3 linked regions of the Astyanax mexicanus genome follow. The protein of the gene in region 1 interacts with the protein of each later gene in a biochemical or structural test. Links are inferred from orthologs where the notes say so. Each region holds a gene or a part of one and is shown on either strand. Other genes may lie near its edges. The genes, in order: rpa1, rfwd3 and rad51.

Region 1 (8,053 bases):
CCTTTTCAAGGATTTCAGCCGAAACAGGAATTCATGCAAGAGTCTCTGAAAATATATAATTCAGAGCCGGCAGCCTTGACAGAGCTGGAGGAGATCAATGAGTGGGTAGAGAAGTCAACAAATGGCCAAGTCACAGACTTCCTCTCCAGTCTTCCCTCTAACCTTGTCATGATGCTTATCAACGCTGTGCACTATAAAGGTAAATGACATACGCACAGTCTTTTATAAGAGGACACACCACAGCAGTGAAAAGTGTAAACAGAGATACCCCGTATGGGCAAATGTACTGGGGCACCTGCTGATTTGTTGCTTCTTCCGGAATCAAGAGTGTCCTGCTTTTGTTGGTAAAACTATAAATTACTACTGTTTAGAAAAGGCTACTAGATTTTGGAGTATTTCTGGATTTGATTGCATTCAACCCACCTCATCCCAACCACATAGGCAACTGATCCCCAACTTTTGCCAAATTTACAGAATGGAGCACCATAATTTTAGGGAATGCAGTTCCACTGCTCCACAGCTCAGTGCTGAAGGGCTTTATATTTATGGAGCCTACACCTGGCTATTTTGGTTCATGTTAATCTGCTCCAGAGAATCCTATTTTATTGGCAGAATCCTATTCTATTGTCAGCTGAATGCATTCATTAGAAAGGGTGTTCACGAACATATGAACATGTAGTGTAGCTTTGGAAACTCATTACATAAGGCTAATATTATTAATGTTGTGTTACAACAGTTCATGTATTGTGTTTACAAAGTACTTAGACCCCTTCACTTTTTCCCCATTTTGAAATTAAATAACTAATAAATAAAACAGGGATGTCAAGTCATGTAGGCGCCAAATCATTAAGGTTCTGGGCCCTACTGAAGGGCCCTTAATACCAGTGTGTTAAATTTGAGTTGGATCTTAACTTTGAAGGGAACTATATATAACCAGAACCAGGATTTGGTATCCTTGCATTATAACCATACTCTAATACATTTACATTGGGAGTAACTCCCATCTGGCCAATCTACCACAAAGACTTGATCTGTGTGCCCCTTGGGATCAAAATGTAAAAGTTTTTCTAGAAAGTTTTATCTCCAATTATCTTTGTTTCTTGCTAGTTTTGATATTTGAAGATTAGTAACCTATAGAGAGAATAAATCATTTTGGAATTTTTATAGTGTTACCTTGTGAATGGTAATCATTAAAAAATGAGGTAGCTGTCTAACAAAAAAACATTCTTACGTGTTTGTATTTGTTAAGAAAGGTCCAGCTCACCTAATTTAATAAGTTTGTATTCAGTGTTTTTTCTTTTCCTTCAGGCGAGTGGGAGAAGCGCTTTGACCCTCGATTTACCACAAGTGAACCGTTCTACATTGATGAAAACCTGGCAGTCAATGTGGACATGATGCTTGGGCCAAAATACCCCCTCAGTATTTTTAATCATAATGAACTTGATGCCCAGGTACCTTTTATAATCATGTTTCTCTCTCTATCTCTCTCTCTCTTCTCTCTGCATATGTGTATATATACACATACATAGAAAACACAACATCTACATATATAGTTCTGTTTACTGTCATGCTACAAATGACATTATTGGTGTAAACAGAACTGTGTCTTGTCTTTTGCAGGTCGCTCGTTTTCCATTCAAAGGGAATATGAGCCTGATAATTGTAATGCCTGTGAGTGGAAATGTCAATGTGACGACCATTGCGGCCAAACTCAACATCTCAGACCTATATAGCCGCTTTCCCCGAGAGAGAAACATGCAAGTCAAACTCCCCAAATTCAAACTAGATTTCACTCAGGAACTTGATGAGGCACTTACAAGCATGGGTAAGAAATCATTCTGGATTTATCAAAGAAACAGATTTAGATTTTAATACCATTTTTGTTTAATTCAACCCTTTTTTTATTTATACAAATTTTTGTTTAAATACAGGGTTATTACACCAAATATTGATGTCTTAATATGAACTTTATGAAGTTTTATTTGCATTATTTGAGGTCTGAAAAATTTATTTTTTCTGCAAATAAATGCTCTAAATGACAATATTTTTATTTGTAATTTGGAAAAACTTTTGTCTGTAGTTTATAGAATAAAACAACAATGTTCATTTTACTCAAAAATATACCGATAAATAGCAACATCAGATATTTTTTTTCCAGAGCTGTGAATTTGGAAGTATTGCAGCAAAATGTTGCCATGTGTTTTTTAAGTATATTAAATATATTTAAGTATATTCCCCCAAAAGACAGTAAAGTTGATCTTATCCAAGGTAGTGGAAGCCTGTCTCACTCAAACAATTCTTTAAATATTTGTAGCTCCAGTGCAAATCTTACCTGCCCTGGCTGATCAGCTTTACATGTGATAATTGCTCTGTTTTTACACAGGTCTAGGGGAACTGTTCACAAGTCCCAACCTGGCTGGTATAGCAGATGGCCCCCTTGTGGTATCCAGCGTGCAGCACAAGTCCAGCATGGAGATAAATGAAGAGGGTGCAGAAGCTGCTGCTGCGACCAGTGTAGTCATCTCCCGCTCCAACCCCTCCTTTACAGTTAACCAGCCGTTTTTCTTCGCCCTCATGGATGATTCTTCTCAAACGCCACTTTTTCTGGGGGTGATTTCCAACCCAAACCCCAGCGAAGCTGCTGTGATATCAAACCCAAGTGATGTAGAAAAGGCCGGCTTGCTTGACAAGGATGCTGCACCATCTTCTGTCCATCCACCCAAGTGAAGGTCCTTCAGCAGAGTGAGGCTACAACTAATTTTGAGCTGCATGGGGCCGCAACAAAAAGGCAAATCAAGACTTTCAACAATGGGAATTATATGCTATAAAGCATGTTCAATGGACAGGAGTCAAATATGCAGAAACATATTGGAAATTTTGGAATGATACTTCTCACCATCAAGGCAAATTACCTTTCATCTTATGATAAAGCTCATATCACCAGCAGTCAACTGCATTGTTTTAAAAGCCTAATGTTTCATGATTAAAGAAAAGGGTTTTAAAGAATTAAGCGTTTCTTGCTGTATTTTTACAAAGTTGCAGGGCCAATAAGCTATACTTTAGTATCTTGCTTAAAACTTTTAGACTATAGACACAAGAAACTCACCTACAATTGAAGTTTGGATCGAATTTGCAAAACTCTGATCAGGTATCATGCATTTTCTTGCTGTCCACGTGATCAAAAATCTGTCTGCATACAATCTAGATATGCCAAAAACTGTATTTGGACTGGCAATCTGATTCTAGCCAATTAGCTTTAGGTTTTATACCAGTTTACACGCCTAGTGTACACTTTATTGTACAGTGTGATATAAAGGTGGTATTCATTTAGACATTTAGATCAAACATCACATGTTTCAGGCTTATACTTTTAGTAAAAATCTGTTTTACAGTCCTAATATTAGCAGTTGCTTTTGATTTCTAAATAAAGTTCACCTGAGTAGACATTTTTTTGTTTCATTTCTGCAATAAGTAATGCAGTGCAATTAATATAAAACAACAGTTTGTGCCATGGTAATTGAGATATTATTCTTTGATTGTGGTGGTTTGTGGTTCATATTTTTTTTATTTTTCCAACAAACTATTGTTTTTACAAATCATATACAGACATCCCACCCTGAAAAAACTAATTTCAGGGGGGGAGGGGGGGGGGTGTAGGTCCTTCAAATCTGTACTTAAAATATAAAATATAACATAATTTCAATGAAGTGCACAGAGTACAGTATCTCCTTAACACTTAGCCAGCTAGTTGTTAAACGAGTTAATGAACGAGTAAATTAAAAATGTAGGAGACTCCCTGAACTTCCGCGACAGGTGGGAACTTTTCTTATAGTGTACCTACAACAACTAAATTTGCTGTTACTGAGCCCAGAGAGTATCATGGTAAAACAATTCTATTGTTACAAATAAAAAAATGATAGATGCTGAAAAATGTTGCCTTACTTTTTTATAAATTGTTTCCTCAATCTTCAAAAAAGTTTTCTTAATTGAAATAATTGTTCTGTCTGTTTAACTAAAGCGTATGAAGCATATGATGGCGTAAAAAAATAAAGAGTTGATTTCGAGAATAAAGTCATAATATTTTAAGATTAAAGTTGTATTGCAATCAGGAAAGTTGCATTATTATGATCGAAGAGTTTGCAAATCGATATAGTAATCTCCTCGTGTTAAAATAAATTACTTTATCCTCAATAGTTTATTCTCAAAATATTTTTTTAAAATCTCGAAATATTATGAGTTTAATCACGAAATATTACAAGTTTATTCTAGAAATATTCTGAATTTATTTGAAATATTACAACTTTATCTGCAAAATGTTACAAGTTTATTCTAAATATTACGAGTTTATTTTTTTAAATAATAAGTTTATTGTAGAAGTATGAGTTTATTTTCAAAATATAAGCTTATTCGTATATTACTACTTTATTTGCAAAATATTGAGTTTATTTTTTAAATATAAGTTTATTCTTGAAATATTATGTGTTCATTTTCAAAATAGTACGCCTTTATTCTCTTAATATTACTACTTTAAGTGCAAAATATTACAAACTTATTTTTTGAAAAATAAGTTTATTCTAGAAGTATGAATTTTACTACTTTATTTGCGAAATATTGCGACTTTATTTGCGAAATGTTGCAAGTTTATTCTTGTAATATTATTAATATTTTTGAAGTCCGTTTTTTTTATTATTTTAAGAGTGGCTTTAAAACGCTGTCGTAAAAGGCTTCCTTTAAAGTGAGTAAAAAATAATAATAAAAAAGGACGAATGGTTTAATTTTTATTAGCTATTATTTTTATGATGTAAATATATTTATTTATTTTAGAATAAAAGTCCTAAGCATTTTAGCTAACCCTAAAATACCCTAAATAAGAGAGAAACTATATAGTTATATGTGTTAAAAACTCTGTATACATGCTAGTCTCTGTAGTCACTGGGGGGGAAAAGACCTCCTCCTTCGACCCTTCAGCGGAAGTGATGCAAGAAGCCGGAGCGCGCGCTTACACTGAAAGTTGGCGCCACGACTCAGAACAACAACACGGAGCGGGAGCGGAGCGGCTGAGAATTTATATTAAACCCCGATATTTCTCCTCCAGCTCGCAGCCATGACTGTTACACTGTCAGAAGGAGCTATAGAGGTGTGTACCGGGTAAACGAGAGGGGTAAAAGCGTAGTGTGAGAGCTGTTAAATAAGAAGGCCGAGAGCAGCGCAGAGTCAGCCTGGCTAAATAACTAACGCTAAGTAGTTCTAGCAGCTCAGTAACGGCAACTGGAGCTAAAGCTAAAGCTAACAGGCGACCTAACTTAGTGATTTAGAGAAATCTGTGTCTCAGTAAAGTAGAGAATGCTGAAAAAAATCTGCTCTAAAGAGTACATGTTATGATGGGATATGTAGAAAAATCTTTCCGTACGCCAACGATTTTTATTTGGATTGTCTATTCCACCTTAAACGGTGTCCAGGCGCTGCACAGTTTAAGGTGGAACGGTTCTGTTGTCATTCAAACGGCGTGGCCTTTTCGGTTAAATCACCGTTTTCCCTTCGTAAATACAATTAAGCTAGTTTAGCTAATCCAAACTTTTAACTATTCAATTATTCAGATCTAGGAGGCGCGTGTGCGCTGGGAAATCACCGAACTGCAAACCTGTCGTCCTAAAGAAAAAGGGGTTCTAATGCTGTCCATACACTAAGTTACACGACGTTGAAAAAAAAACTCTTAAAAAAAAAAAAGACTTTTAACAGACTAAAATCTGACACCCTCTCACATCTAAAGACAAGACGTTTTAATTACAGGCTCAGATTATTATCTGAGAATATTTCCCATCATGCTTCTGGTGGAGTTTACATACAATACTTGTGACATTAAGCTACACATAATGTGTAAGTTAAATCAGTACTCTGATTTGTCATCTCGTGATTTTATTTCGACTCTGGAAATGTGTCTGCGACATTGAAATCACTTGAAAATCGTTAGGTGTAAGGTCAACATAAGAAGAAAATGCTTTTCTCTGAACGTGAACTCGTGGTTTCTCCCTGTTATTGTAATGTGTGACTTATAGTTGTTGTTTATTTGTCTGTGTAAGAAAAATATTGGTTTTCTGATCATAACAAAGTTCTTATTATTTCCAACAAAGATTTATTTGCAGCCGTGAACGTGTAGATTTTGCAACACTTAGATTTTTTCACCCCTTAAAAAAAAAAAAACTTGTTCCATCAAATGTTTTAAATGTACTTTTTAGCATCTTATGTGCAATTACTATTTCGCACCAAAAACCTATAGACTGTCACTAAGTTAAATCAATCTGGACAAACTCCATAGAATGCCTTAGAAATATTTTCTTTGGGTGGACTTCTTTGTATTTTAGATGTTTTTTTAATGGATTTTAAAAACTGTCAGTTGAAGGAAACTCAGCTCAGAAAGACAATTTTTTAGAAATTTCATTAGACTTTATTTTGTGTATTTGTATGTATTTTTCTTAACTGTGTGTGTTCTATCATTTCAGCTCCTGATCAAAGGTAGTGAGGTTTCAAACCCAGTGCTTCAATGTGTTGTAAGTTCTTCTGTCAGTTGCATGTTTTTTTTCTGCTGGTGTTTTTTTTTTTTTTTACGAGAGTGTTAGATGTTTTCACTTGTTACTTCTCTTGATTTTAAGGAAAAATTATGGCCTGTCAATCTTATTGTAAGCCAAGTTTGTTTTACTGAAAAAATATAATAGAATGCAGTAGCGTTCTTTTACAGACCATCAGCATTTAAATATAACATTTATAAAACAAAATAAAACTGATGATGTGACAGGCATAAATCATTCTCAGATGACATCAAAACAGGTTTAGTAGGTATCCAAATATAAATGTTTTTGGCTTATGAAAGGATTCAATATAAACCTGTTTTATCATTAGTTAAATATTAAATTTAGCCTGCACAAATATGAGAAATGAATCAAATTTTAGAGCTTTTTTGGTTTGCAGCCTTATTCTCATGTATGTGAAATAAAAATTGTTTTTTCTCTGCAGAATATCCGAAAGATTGATGGAGGCAGTGGACCAGTCCGCTTTCGCCTCATGATGAGTGATGGCCTTCATACTATGTCCTGTAAGTGTGTGTTTGTGTGTTGGAGGGGATCTATTTAACCTTATACATGAAACCAAAGCATATGTATATAGATTTTTGCTTCCTCATTTGGATCTAAAGTTCTAGGTAAAGGTATCATATTGTATCTTAATGGCATCTCTCTGAAGAACTCTGTTTTCCTTAGAGCTTGCATAGTTTATCCAGTAATTCACTAAACTGTTACATAATAAAGTGCTGTGATTTTTATATCCATTGCTTATGCTTCTCATATCTGAATTTAATTGGTGTTTGTTGAGTATCCTTGTGAGTATCTCTGGGTATTTTCAAAACATAATGAGCCTAACATTGAAGAGGTACTTCACCATCAAAACAATTTTCTTGACTGCCTGAGTTTTTAAAATGACTCAGTGGCTGTTTCAATCATGACAATTAAATGAAAATGTTGTCTTACAATTGCACTATATAATGTTTAGAATAAATGTAAATAAGGATACAAAAACAGATCATATATTTCAAACAGTTATTGGTATGCTGGTTAGATTAATACAACTTAAGTTTGGTGCTCAACTGACTTCTCTGTGAACACCCTGACACTGTATGGATTTGTTGACTTCCTCCGCTTGCAAGTTAAACCCCTTTGACAAATGGAAGAAATGGTTGATATATGGTTATTCATTGAAGAGGGTATTTTTTTTTCTTGAAAAATAGACATGGGTATTTTTAAAAACTCGTATTACCCTTCTTCCATTAAAAAAAACAAAACATTTTTGTCCACACAGAGACTAATATGCTTGCATTAGCATACTAGATCTGTATGAGGTAATAGAAACTCAAGTAAGATATCAAAGCACTGCAGAGAAAATTACTCCCTAGGCAGTGTATGACAATACAGTCACAAAATTACTTGGCACTAGAATGGCGTATCATAGGTGATATCGCCAACATTTTTGAATATCGTAAACTATATTATATCCTGAAATATGG
Region 2 (7,027 bases), on another chromosome or scaffold:
TGAAATTGGCAGAAAAACAAACAAACTAAAGTAAAAAAATCAAACCTTGGGTTCAGACTGAACTGGGGCTTCTGTCCTCTCAACATCAGCAGAAACAACAGGACCTGTGTAAAGGCAAGGACATAATGGACACTCTGTTTAAACTATGCAACACAACAAGATAAGACCACTATTTAAAGCTACATTATGGAGAATTGTTATTTTATAGTACACTTAACAGCATTTTAAACCAGAAGTATTTCTAAAGTCTCTTTAAATTCTCCACTTACATTCTCTGAATATCAATGTGAAAATTTACCTGTTGCACTGGGTTCCTGAAGTAGAGGAGCCACCACTGGAGCCTGCTGGCTGGAGTTAGACACAGGGGCAGGTTCTGAAGACTGTCCAGAATTTGCGCTCTGTCCATTTTGTCCTTCTTCCTCAGAGTCACTCACCTCCTCTGTGCTGCCTGAGATTGGTTCTGTGTCACTCCCTGCTGAAACCCTGAGCAAGAAGTCTAAAGGGCCTCTGTTTAGAAGTGTAGTCTGAGTCGAGTACTGGAACCGCAATCCTGGCCTGTGAAGCAAGTTGAAGTGCATGTTTAAGCATAATTATAACACACATCTTCATGCAGGGCTTGTACTTAATATATACACATGTATAGTATGTAATGTACAGTAACCCTAGCACTGAATAGCATATTTGAAGTTATTCTGCTTTAAAACCACTGATACTCTACTAATCCATTAAATTAACTAACTTTAGGATGTGAAAACTCCAGAAACTCAGTTTGGAACCACTGACCAAGATCTAAAAGTACATTAGCAGCAGATTTGAACATTTAAAAAATTATGTACAGCTGATTGCAAAGGCGCCAACCAACAGGCTTACTTGTGTATTTATTCATCATACCTAGCTCTCCGTCTTCTCCTGACAGCCTGAGTTGATGCAAGTCGTGGCCTCTCTATTGGGACAGTGCTTCTTCCTTCAAGCTGTCTATCACCATCTTCATCCTCCTCTACTTCTGTGCTGCTCCCAGAGTCAGGAATGACTATCGGCACCTCCACCCCTACAGAACTAACAGCTGCCCCTGCTGCTCCTAACTGCACATCCACCTCCATGTCTTCCATCTGGAAAGCACAAAAAAAAGTGTTAGTATGTTACGCTGAATTACTCTGTTTTATTATAGGCACAGAGTCCAGAGTGAACAAACCTTCTATTATTGACCTTGGCAAGTGACACCACAATTTGTGCTACAAAAAGCTTTAGAGTGGACAGTGAGACAAAGGCCAATCCCATTTCCCCTCTTGGCCCTACCACTTAGTTCTACCCCTCTGTTTAAACTAACATCCCTGTTCTGCCTTTAATGGTGCAACAGATTTCACCCCTTTCTCTTGTATATCTGTTCCAAGAAAAAGGAATACACTCGAAAACAGAGGGAAGGAGTAGAAATTGGAAATAGGATTGGACAACATCTAGTGCCATCTAGTCTGTGTATTTAAAGCAGCCCTGCAGGTTTACAACGTTTGAAGCAGTACACCACTTCTCTGGTCCATAGTATAAAATCAGCCTGGTAGTTTTTGCTCCCAGCGGGTCTATGAAACAACTGGTACGGGCAACAAGGAAAGGTTGCCATCTCTTTTAAGCACCAACCTACAGGCCAGAGATGTCCAGCACCAGGCCCCATTTCCCTCCCACAGTGTGTCTTACATGAGCCTGACAGACTTCAAGCTGTCACTTAATACAGCAGAAGATTTACTACTACACCTATATAATAATTACTAAAGCTCTGATAGTGGAGCAAGTGTTAGTAGTTGCTTACTAACTAATTAGGTAGGTTAACTAGATAAGTTAGTTAAAATGTCAGAAATAAACAGTGACCCAAGATGCTATTAGCTAGCTAACTACAGCTCTGGAAAAAAAATAAGAGGACACCACTCAAATTAGTTTCTTTGATTTTACCTAGTTGAAAACCTATGGAATATAATCAAGAGGAAGATGGATGATCACAAGCCATCAAACCAAGCTGAAATGCTTACATTTATTCACCAGGAGTGGCATAAAGTTATCCAAAATGAGTGTGCAAGACTGGTGGAGAACATGCCAAGATGCATAAAAGCTGAAACCCAGGGTTATTTCACTAAATATTGATTTCTGAATTCTTAAAACTTTTTTTTTTATATGAACTTGTTTTCTTTGCACTATTTGAGGTCTGAAAGCTCTGCATCTTTTTGTTATGTCAGTCATTTCTCATCTTCTGCAAAATAAATGCTATAAATAACAAAAAAAAAAAATTGGGAATTTGGGAAAAATGTCCGTAACACAAAAACGTTCATTTAACTCAAATATATACCTATAAATTGCAAAATCAGAGAGACTGAAATGGGCACTATTTTTTTCTCAAGAGCTATATATGGACGTAACTAGCTAGATTAGCTAGCTAGCTATAATGGCTTTTAATTAATGTGCAAATGCTTTAATTTAGCTATGTAACCTCTTGGTGGGTTTACTAGATGTTCTTAAATTGAGCGAGGTGGCTAGATGGGTCTGTTAGCAAAGCTAGTTAGTGAATTTATGAGTCTGGCGCTAGGTTACATTGGTTAGCCTGCTAGCGCTAGCTAGCAAACAGATTACCATCTATCAGTCGAATACAAACATGCAGCACATTTAACCCCCCTCAGTATAAATATACACAGCTCTTTGTCGGTTTACTGCTATTAAAGCGTGGTCTGATGCATGGCGATTCGTGTTTATAAAGCACAGACTGCAAGTTAGCTTCGAAGCTAACTCGTGATGCAAACAGCTAGGTTAGCTAAACCCAGCTCACAGTACTGCGAAGCTACAAAAACATTACCTTAAAACCGCAATTCCCGTCCTCTTCCACATTAATCAACCATTATATATCTACTGACCCATACGCGCTTCGAAAAGGGGTCGAGGGTAGTTTGCTGAGAATCTCCCGAGATCAATACCTGACTCTATATAATCAGATTTACACTTCAGATCGATCTGAGCTCAAAGTCTCTCTACCATAGCTTCTGAAGTCCGCGCCATACTGTAGTTCCGCCCATTCCCACAGCTTTACACAACTACCGCCTCGACCAGGCCCTCAGCGATCCAATCAGACACCCTCATCACACAACCTGATCCGACCGCTCAGGAAAACAACGTTAAAAAAAACATATTTAACTATAGAAACAATTTTAAAAATAAAAATGAGAATAAACAGAAAATAAATGTAATGTTGATATCCCATATTTAAAAATATTTATATTATATATGACGTATTTATTTATAATTTATTTATTTTTTATTTATTTATTTATTTTAAACTTCTGTGTGTTGTTGACTACACATTGGTCTGCATTATGAATGATTCTTCCTAACTGTTTTTTATGTATTTTTTTAATAGCTTATATTATATGGTCACATATACAGCTCTAGAAAAAAATAAGAGACCACTTAATTTTCCAAGTCAGTTTCTCTGATTTTGCTATTTATAGGTATATGTTGGAGTAAAATGAACATTGTTCTTTTATTCTAGATAATACAGACAACAATTCTTCCAAATTCCAAATAAAAATATTGTCATTTAGAGCATTTATTTGTAGAAAATGAGAAATGGCTGAAATAACAAAAAAGATGCAGAGCAATAATGCAAAGAAAACAAGTTAATATAATAAGATTTCTTATAATAAGAACAATTATATACATATGACTCACAAAAAAATAATAAACACAACTGTACATACTGTTCATAACACCAAATTTGATTCTTTTTGAGTTTTTATGGGCTTTAGAGAACTATGAATATACTTAATTCCAATCATAAATGTATGCAGTATGGGTGCAGTTTTGTTAAACATACACTTGTAATAAGAGTAAACTCATATTATTGTCTATACTGGAGAAATAATAATTACATCCCAAAAGAGACAGACTAAATACAGTATTTGTAGAAAAGTAACCATTCTTTTGTCCAGTTAATATTTTCTATCACACATTTCAATGAAATGTACTTTTAGGTAAAGTAGTTCTCCTCCCTTTTATGTCATGTAGCACCAATACAGTAGCACTCTGATACATAATGTCAAGGGGGCTAAGGGAGGAGGACATGGACTGTGGTTTTGCCACCGAAGCTAAAAAAAATCTTAGTGAAAACACTGCAATAAGACTAAATTAATTATTGTCCTGTATAATTTATTTGACATTTTCACTACATTTTTCCACCAAATTAGTTTCTTTTATTTTTTTAAATTGAAAACCTCTGGAATATAATCAAGATGAAGATGGATGATCACAACCATCAAACCAAGCTGAAATGCTTACATTTTTACACCAGTAGTGGCATAAAGTTACCCAAAATTAGTGTGCAAGACTGGTGGAGGAGAACATGCCAAGATGCATGAAAACTGATTAAAACCCAGGGTTATTTCACTAAATATTGATTTCTGAACTCTTAAAACTTTTTCTGTATAATTTATTTGACATTTTCACCATTTTTTTCACTAAATAAAAAAAGTGCAGAATATTTGATAAATCTTTAGTATTTAGTCTTTAGAAGTGTTAATAAGATTATTTTTATATAAAATGTATTTGTATAGCGCTTTTTACAACTGATGTTGTTACAAAGCAGCTTAACACAAATATGATTACAGGACAAAGGATCAGGCAAAATATTAAACATAAAAAACACAGAATACAGAACACAGAACCCCAATAAGCATGGAGGCAAGGAAAAACTTCCTCAGAGCTGGAGGAGGAAGAAATCTTGGAAGGACCAAGACTCACATATAAGGGGCGATCATCCTTCCACTGGACAGAGAGCTTTTAAATGAATTTTTAAAAGTCTTTATACATCCACATAGGTCTTATATATTCAGGTGTACAGCAGCACCAGTAATGGAAGAAGTTAGAGTTCATGTAAGCTTGAATGTAATCAGTAGTGGAGAGTGAGAGGGACAATGGGCAGCTAATCTGTGGTGGATGATGGGAAAGCCTGACTTCAGAAACTTCTATCAGTCTGGCCGGGCAGGAAACATTAGAGCCTGAGGGTCCAACATCCATCGGTATTGGGTCAGACTGGTGGGCAGTCAGTAACTCAGAGGAAGGTTGAAGAAGGGAATTAGTTTTGACTGGATTTATGGAGAAAATATGAAACATTATCAGAGTGTGGCTAATGACTCTGGCAGATCTGAATAAAACAGCCTAACTAAAGGCGGAGAGTCAGAAGGTAACATAGACAGGGAGGCACCCTGAAACACCGGCATCCTCCCACTCCACTGTCCACAAACCTGAGTGACCACATGCAGTGGGCAAACAACAGCACCAGCATCTCAGTTTACCACAATTCCCTATGTCCATGAACCCCTGGATCTGCAGGCTTATCTAAAGGGGAAAAACAAATCTTTCAAGCATACTTTGTTCAGCTAGTGGGGCAAAATACTCAGAAAACATTTCAAAAAATTTAAAGAGATGGTAAATAATACAATCTGAAAATGTAAAGCATGTTTCCAAACAAATGCTGCAAAATAAAGTGTCTTAAAATAAAACATCTGTACAAAAATGATTATGGCATCATGGTGGGCCAACCATGTAAGTCTGAGTCAGCCCCTGGGGCTCCTGGGATGCTCCTTGTGTGTAATGGTTAACTGTGGACTTAAACAGACGAAGTGGTTGTGTTATGAGTGGGTCCACTTGCCAGCGGGTGCCTGAGTTGGTCTGTTGTCACTATGGCCGTGGCACACGGACCGCTAAACAAGAGGTTTAATACAGGGGGTTAGTATGAGTCTCGGGTCTTCCGCTTTATAGAACACACCTGTTTTGGAGAACAAAGTAAAAAAGAGCTACAAATAAAGACTGTTTCTCAACATGCCACTGCTACAATATAATTGATCTTTAAATATATATAAGCAAGCTTCTGTGGGGTTGGAATGAAAGTCTTGTTTAAAACAAGACAACCATATACATGATATGCTGGGCACAGGTAAAACTGGGTCTCCGCCTATAACCCATCAGTGCAGTGAATACTACAAAGTCGTATTTACATGTGAACATATTATATAGGATATAAAATGAAATACAAATTTTTTTTTATGAATAATCATTCACAATGCAGGACAATGTGTAGTTCAGCAACACTAGTTTGAATTACTTAGTTAAGTGTCTTCACGCTGTGTTTAAGCTGTGTTTAAAGGCTGTTGGTGTAGCATTTATAAGGACCCTAGCTACAAAAGGGTAAAATAACCAAATTAAACTGATCCTAAACAAAGCTCATAACACATTAATCACAGCTTTGTCACAATTTCACTCTCATTATGTATTCACAATATAGTCTTTTTGGGAAGTTCACATTACAAAAAAATGAACACAAAACAAACTAACATAGAGTTACACATAGAGTTGGGCATATGCATAAGCACACAGGCCCACTGCCCTGCTCTTTTAGTGTTTTTCCTGCATCAAACACACCCAAGTCAAATAATCAGCTAATTATTAATTCATTGTTGAATTCAGGTGGGTGTGTTAAAGGAGGAAAATCACTGAAATGTGCAGCATATTGGTCTCCAGTACCAGGATTAAGATATACTGAGCTAAAGGACGAGAAACGACGGCCTTCCTTTATTTACGTGGCCCTGTGTGACCCCCTGATTTTATGGACAGACAGAACAGTTCTACTGAAACTTTGTTACTCTCCCCACTAGATGGCCACCTAAGCCCACACACCACGAACTGTCTCCCTTTTGCAGGTAAGAAAACATGTTATATTTCAGATTTTTAGAGAAATGTATTTTCTTTACTCTTGTTTCAGACTTAACAGTTGTTTCAGTGTTATATCATATTAATGTGACCGTTTTCAATAACAGAGACGTATGTTGTACCAAACGAACCAGCTACGTTTTTTGTCCATTTATTTTATATGAAATCAACACACAATCAGCTTGATTAGCTTTTCTGGATGAAACAATTTCTTTTTCAATTTTTTTTTATTACAGATGTTTATGTATATTAATAGAGATGTTCTATGTTGAGTTTGTGTGTCTAACAG
Region 3 (7,004 bases), on another chromosome or scaffold:
TATCTGCTTATCTAGATATTTTTTCTGCACAATGCTACACTGTTCTCACCTCTCAGCAACAGCCAGAAGTCTCTCTGGACGGAACGTGCCCTCGGTGTCGATGTACATGGCTTTGCCTTCCCCTCCTCCCTGATCGATAGGCAGCTGACATGTGACTGCTAACGTGTGACAAAGCTGAGTCTTTCCTGTACGAAATTCCCCAAACATCTCTGTGATGGAACCTGTCTCAATACCACCTATAGACAGGGAAAACAAGAGAAAGCAAGAAAGTGGCTCTATTAACAAAATACATGTTGGCTACATACAAATGCAACAGACATCACAGTGGTGAGTGGCTGGAGCATTTTTGTGCAAAAGCGTAGTAACATGAAGTAATGAAAAAGGTTTCATTTTATATGTATGCATTTCATCTTAAATTGTGCTCTGCTGTTTTTACTTACTTTTTCTGCCCATTTAATTTGTGATTTATGTAAAGAACCTTGAATTGTGTACTAAAAAAACATTTCAATGTTGTTTTATAAGCTACATTACAACTGAGGTCAAACAATTCCTCACCCTGCAGAAGCTTGTCCAGCTCTTTGGAACCAGTGGAAATCTGAATGATCTCAGCTCTCCGCTGGTGAAATTCTGTTGCTGTTGTGAAGCCCATTGGAACCAGTTTAGCAGCCTCTGCCTGCAGGAAACAATAAAAACATAAATTTAAGGATTTAAATATCAAGGAGATTTTATTGTCATTTCACATCACATGTGGTACATGAGGTGGAACAAATTTGTATTCCCACGGTCCAGTTTACACTCAAAGAGCAATTGTTTAAAATAGAAGAATAAAAAGACAAAGTAAAAAGTATAATCGTAAAATAATAAAATAGAGAAGAAAAATACACAATATATAAAGACGTAGAGAAGTAGCAGCAACACGAGTTCCAAGTTGCTATAGCAAAATGGATGATTATTAAGAAGTGCTGAGCTCACCAAAATCTTGTCAGCTTTGGCCTCACTGATGCCCTTAATGTTGATCAGTTCTTTTTTGGGGGCATATGCTACAGCCTCGATGGTGTGAAATCCCGCATCTTCCAGCTTTTTCAGGTCACTGGCACTGATACCACATTGCTGCAGAACACAGAAACAAGCACTTCATGAACAGAAAGGACTATCGACAGCTTTGTGACACCTATATGTTACAAACAGATCCAACAAGCAAAATTTCACACTCTCTCCATGGGAAGGTAGTATTGCACTAGTAAGAGACTGTTGCACATCTGTTGACAGACTTTATGTAGTGATTCTCTAGTCATTCGTCAGTGATCAGTTCTGACCACAGAGCAGGTTTCAGCTCTTGCCCAAAACTAAAACACACCCATTTCAACCAATTAATGAATTTTGAGATCAATGATTAGTTTGAGCAAAAGTCTGCATAAAAGTAGCTCTCCAAAAGGACAGGCCAGATTGAAGACCACATATTTATTTAGCAGGTGTTTCTGATAAATCGACCAAAGAATAAAGACTCAATTAAAATGTAACAGCTTATGAGAAATCACTGCACTTCACTCTTGCATCTGGCTCTTTAAAAGAAAAGAGGCATTGCTCATGGCTGAATCGCTAGTTGTGTTAAATCATACCTCCAGGCGGTTCAGCGGCTGTGGTCCAAAACTATCCTCTTCTTCAACTTCTGCCTCCACCTCCACTCTGCTTTCACTTCTCATAGCCATCTTCAATTACCTGGACCATATTTACAGACATACAAGCACAAATCAAAGCTAAAACACTAATACTGGGGGTACCATCAACAAATATTTTTTTTTATTTAATTAAAGAATTTAATTTAAAAATGTTACAACTAGTCTGCTCTGTTACACACTACACAAGCTCAATATTATTTATTTTAATAATATCGTAATAAATATTGTATTTTGGTAAAAAGTCGTGATATCCTAAAAAACAAAAGCTGGAAGGTTAGTCACATTCATTTGATTAATTGGATTCTTGTTACATTGCATTTATTTTCAAAATGGGACATGTTTACGTACAGAACCTGCCAGAGGGAATCTCACTAGATAGATTTGTTTTTCGGTCAAAAAGAAACTGTAAAAAAACTCTAACTCTAATGTAACAGTATTTTTAAAGGGAGCTGCTTCATAATCTTATAAGAATGAATGGTTATAATTATGACTTAGATTGAGAGAGAGAGAGAGAAATATATAATTGGTCACAATATCTCCCAGCTCTAGTTACACAATATGTTTACCATATCTGGCACAGCTAACCTAGCTAGCGTTAGCTAACCCATAGAAATGGAATTTATCCACTTGAACATTTGACAACTTTTCTGCCCTGTTTGCCCGCTGTGAGAACATTAAGATAAATTTAAAACTAGCAGAAACTAAGAATAAATCGGTGTTAAAACCAAACACGAGAAAAACAAAGAGAAAACAGTAAAGAGAAAATCACTAATCGTGAACAATCGTACCTAGTTCACCTAACTTAGCTAATCTATAGCTATAGCTAGCGTTAGCTTAGCTACAACAACAGGGCGGTAGTAGCTTTCGCTAGATTTAATTTACAAAGCCAGGAGAGCTTAGTTAAGTTAGCCAAAACCAAAATGACCCGAGACGAGTGTGGTCGAGTGTGTTGCTCTGCTCTGGTGTGCTGCAGTGTTTCTGACCGCAGAGCGTCCAGATAACCCCGCGCTCCTGTTATTGAGTTAACTCAGCTGTATCTGGATCAGTTCAGCTAGCCTGCACTGAATCAGAGCGGCAGCGGCAGCAGCAACAGTAACAGTAACAGTAACAGCTAACGCGCCTCTCCTCTTCTAACACGTTAATGCAGCTGAATCCGCTGAGACCCGCCCCGGACCGGCGCTGTCAGAGGTCGCCTACTGTTGCTGTTTCTGGGGCTGTATTGATATATCATTAATAACTGAATAAATAAACTGAATTACAGATAAATAAACAGAAGTAGAGGAGCTCTCTCACCGACTGGCCTCACAACCGAGTTTCCCGCGCCTGCGTCACCGGTCACGTGACACCGAGCGACGTCACAGCGGGCGTGTTTTTTATCTTTTTGCCAAAAAAATATTATTTCTATAAAAAAAATGCACCCACGTCAGTGTAACCTTTAGCAGTTTAATTGCCTAACTATAGCTGAATTTATAATGAAGAATAAATTGGGTTTCACCCAATTTTCCAATTATCAAGTTTTTAATTTCAGCATTTTGCAAACAGAATTTCAAGAAAAATTAAAAGTTGAAGGTCAATGTAACGTTTATTAATTAAATTTTCTGACCATTTGAGGCTAAATGCAAAAATTGGATGTAAAAATTCATTATTTTTTTATGTTGTTTAATTTTTAATGTAGTGCATTGTACAAGAAAAGGTTTTAATATTTTTTTCCAATTTTAGTTTTTTCATCTCTGCCCTTCACAATCGTAATTTTAGGAAAAAAATTAAATATGAATATTTTATTTTCAGATTTTTTAATTTTGCAAGTTGGATTATACCATCAGATTTGTGTTAAAAGATACAAAAATGGACAAATCTGGAAATCAAGAGATTCAACTTTTAATTGTTCTTGAAATTCCGTTTGCAAAAGGCTGAAATGAAAAAAAAATTGAATGAAAACACATTCTTCTTTATTTCGAATTTAGTTTGATACAGTCATACTTTCATTTTTCAGATTTGTCAATTTTTGTAACTTGTAAACACAAATCTGATGTTATACTCCAACTTAAAATGCAAAAATTGAAAAACCAGAAAATAAAGAAAATATTTTTTTTTTCATTAACGAGCCTTGGGATCTCTTTCCCACGCCTTTATTTTTTTTTTTTTTTTACATAATGTCACCTTAGGGGCTCCGTACGCTTGTGAGGGGCAGAGATGGAAAAAAGTAGATTGGAAAATGGATGAAAACGTATTTCTTGTACACTGCACTACATAAAAAAATAGTTTTTACATTCAGTTTTCTATCTTTGCATTTGTTCTCTAACAGTCAGAAAATGTCATTAATAAACGTTTCACTGAGCACCCACACCTGGCAAAAATGCTTTAATCGCTGCGTCCTATGATAAATATCTCGAGTCGTTCCAGTCATGATCGCTAGGTCTGAAGAGGAGTATAACCGTCTGTTTCCAGGAGGTGGCGCCAGCAGCACCCTGTCCTCTGGCTGTGCCAAAGCAGCTGGTATTTACCACAGACTCGCTCTGGAGGCTCTAAATTTAGTTATAGCAGAGATTTTGCATTGAAAGGAAAATGTAATATGTGTCTAGGCTTAATCTCTGTCTGGGAAACTGACCCATAGTGTAGAGTGGACTGTGTTGGTGGAGTTGTGGTGCAGTAATCTGACTTTATGCCAGTGCCAGTATAAAGCATTTTATTTAATATTTAAACTCAAAATAAAAAAAAATAATAGTTAATTACTAGCACTTAAAGTTACAGCAAGACTAGAGACAATTCATATTCACATAACAGACATTACAACATTAACAGAACAGAAACATTACATCACAAAGTATATTATTTATACATTAATAATCATTTTCTGCTGCATATTTACATCACTGTACTCAATAAGAATTAAACATGCAAAACCTTTTTAATGTAAATCACACATAATTTATATCATGTAGATTTTGTGTAAAAGCAATGCATCTGAGCTTTATGTACAAAACCCCTTACACAGCCAGTCACACATTTCTTTAGATTTAAATATTCACCCATTTTGGTAAAGGTAAGGGGTCTATAAGGAACTCTGACAATAATGACTCAATAATGTTTTGGGTGTGCAAATGATTTTTCTAAACTATGTAAACTGTACAGGGTTCATTACATAACATCTGTGCTTTTACACTGCATGTCCTCTACACTACTTGACTTGACTGAACTCTACCCATTCCGACTCTATTCGACATCATTAAAATGTTTCTGATTTTTGTTGTACTCTGAGACCCCCTTTTAAACTCCATTGTATATAGTCATAAAAATAAAATTTCTTACTGATCAAAGATAAACATGTCAAATATTCATGTTACGCATATTATATACATAATAAAAACAAAGAACTAGAGATAGTACCTAATACAGAAAAAACAACAGATTTAAAACATTTTTTCTAAAAGTTTTTCTGCTTCTCGTAGGGGTTTTCCATCTGCGTGGCCTCTGTGGTGTTGCTGGTTTCGGCTGAGATGGTTGAATCCCCAATGAACTTGCTGGTTTTGTAATAATAAATGAACAGGAAGAATCCTGAGGAGAGACATGAAAAGTTCCTAAATAAGCAAATAATCAAGTAATCACTTAATTGTATTTTTTTTATATGTGTGCCTTGGACAAATATTTTTGAAACTGAGAGGAAGTAAACTTCTCAAACTAAAAATGTATCTAAATCTCAGTCTGTTTCTCAGTCTTTATTAACATAATATAAATCATCAGCGTTACCTGTACAAACACATAGGTGTGATTTGAATCAGTATCCTGTTTGATTTATTTGATGTATGCATCCAGGATTTACTGGTATTTTGTTTAATTCAATCTACTTTCCATATGTGCAGTGTCAGTGCTATGATGGCAACATCTAAATATAATGGGCCCTATTTTCACCTATCTATAGGTGAAGCGTCAAACACGCACCATGCAGCTTGATTTAGTGTAGATTTGGTGTAGATATATTCACAATCACTGTTGCTATATAAATGATGCAGGCAGAAGGCGTGAAAATAGACTGTCGATGGGGTTAATTATGTGTAAGATAGCAATGAGCATCATAACGCACCTTGTGTAGGGTCCAAACAGGCCCAAATAGTTGTGTCAGGAGCATAGACTCATGTCTCATTTTTTACCTGACTTTGTGTAATCTAGTATTGTATAATGGTCAGAGACTCTAAACTGGTCCCCTTAATATCCAACGAAAGCCGAGCACAAAAAGTAAACACAGGAACTAGTTTTCTTTTTGTGCTCAAATGAATTCAAACTGCCACCACATGAAGATGAAGTTTACTTCTTATGTTCTAATGTTTTGGGGCATTTGTTTCAGTTCAGGAGCAGGTTGGAGTTGTAAAGCGTACCTAGTTTTTTTTTTATGTGACAGACATTTTCTATTTCCCCCCAAAAAATCAGAAAACTGTGAGAATCAGGCTCAGTCTTTTATAATCTGTAAAAACAGTTGTTCAAAATGTTGTGTAGTGTGCACAAGTCTCAATAATATCTGGCATTGCAGATACTTTTAGAACATGGCTGTTTCAAAAGCAGTGTTAGTATTGTAAAACTGATTGATACGCTCTTTGCTTTCATGACTTACCTTGGAAGGAATTGAGAATTGTGAAGATGTAGTACGATGGGAGGCGCAGGGCACCATAGGCGAAGAAGGCGAAGCCCCAAGTGACTCCAAGAGTGAAGCACAGGCCCATTATGGTCAGGATGTCCGAGGTGCCTGTCCCTGTGCGCTTACCCGAGCCAGAGGCTGCCTTTTTGTGGCCTGCTGTGGTTCTTTTGAGGAGGACGATCCACCGCAACATGACCACAAAGGTCGTGAAGGTGAAGGCGAAGATTACAGAGTAGTAGCCGATGTTCACAACGTAATGGACAGAAGAGTCTATGATCCAACACCTTTAGAGCAGAAGGCAAAGTTAAGATCAAAAGAGTCATATGGAAACTTCTGACTTACTACTGGCACCCACCCACTATCAGGGCCTAGCTCGAAATCGAATCATGTATTTATTGCCTTGCTATAAGCATGCAGGCAACCTTAATCACAAAATAGCACCTTAATGATCAATTTACAAATTACTGCCATCCCAAGTCTTTTTGTGCCAATAAATATATTCTGACTAACAACTGAGCCGAATTTACTTTTGTCTGTAAATTAACCAGGAAACTCAAAAGGACTCCAAGGAAACACTTTTTTTTTTTTACAAATTAAACTTAAATTTAGGGCCAATATGTTAGCTAACTAAAATAGAAAAATGTAAATTACTTTCCTTTATCATGTTACAGTAGGAACCCCTAAATTTAAAATCT

Evidence for each region.
Region 2: the proteins of rpa1 (region 1) and rfwd3 form a complex in vitro, tested with the Homo sapiens proteins (3 studies listed by BioGRID, with this or other methods). The link is inferred for Astyanax mexicanus from reciprocal best matches to the Homo sapiens genes RPA1 and RFWD3.
Region 3: the proteins of rpa1 (region 1) and rad51 form a complex in vitro, tested with the Homo sapiens proteins (2 studies listed by BioGRID). The link is inferred for Astyanax mexicanus from reciprocal best matches to the Homo sapiens genes RPA1 and RAD51.

Annotation. Positions count from the first base shown.
Region 1 is NC_064425.1:14,360,163-14,368,215, forward strand, and holds the start of rpa1 (replication protein A 70 kDa DNA-binding subunit), read left to right. Parts: upstream 1-4,985; 5' UTR 4,986-5,104; coding exon 5,105-5,137; intron 5,138-6,500; coding exon 6,501-6,548; intron 6,549-7,011; coding exon 7,012-7,090; intron 7,091-8,053. Other genes in the region: serpinf2b (serpin peptidase inhibitor, clade F (alpha-2 antiplasmin, pigment epithelium derived factor), member 2b), read left to right, coding at 11-199, 1,309-1,451, 1,621-1,825, 2,384-2,727. UniProt on the Homo sapiens protein: As part of the heterotrimeric replication protein A complex (RPA/RP-A), binds and stabilizes single-stranded DNA intermediates that form during DNA replication or upon DNA stress.
Region 2 is NC_064409.1:53,683,738-53,690,764, forward strand, and holds the start of rfwd3 (E3 ubiquitin-protein ligase RFWD3), read right to left. Parts: upstream 3,067-7,027; 5' UTR 3,034-3,066; coding exon 3,010-3,033; exon of another isoform or gene 2,834-3,009; intron 1,110-2,833; coding exon 892-1,109; intron 556-891; coding exon 299-555; intron 105-298; coding exon 46-104; intron 1-45. UniProt on the Homo sapiens protein: E3 ubiquitin-protein ligase required for the repair of DNA interstrand cross-links (ICL) in response to DNA damage. Plays a key role in RPA-mediated DNA damage signaling and repair.
Region 3 is NC_064408.1:39,934,660-39,941,663, forward strand, and holds the start of rad51 (DNA repair protein RAD51 homolog 1), read right to left. Parts: upstream 3,058-7,004; 5' UTR 2,973-3,057; intron 2,967-2,972; exon of another isoform or gene 2,939-2,966; intron 2,771-2,938; exon of another isoform or gene 2,468-2,770; intron 1,720-2,467; 5' UTR 1,710-1,719; coding exon 1,620-1,709; intron 1,111-1,619; coding exon 973-1,110; intron 674-972; coding exon 556-673; intron 237-555; coding exon 50-236; intron 1-49. Other genes in the region: adgrg11 (adhesion G-protein coupled receptor G2), read right to left, coding at 5,104-5,234, 6,286-6,593.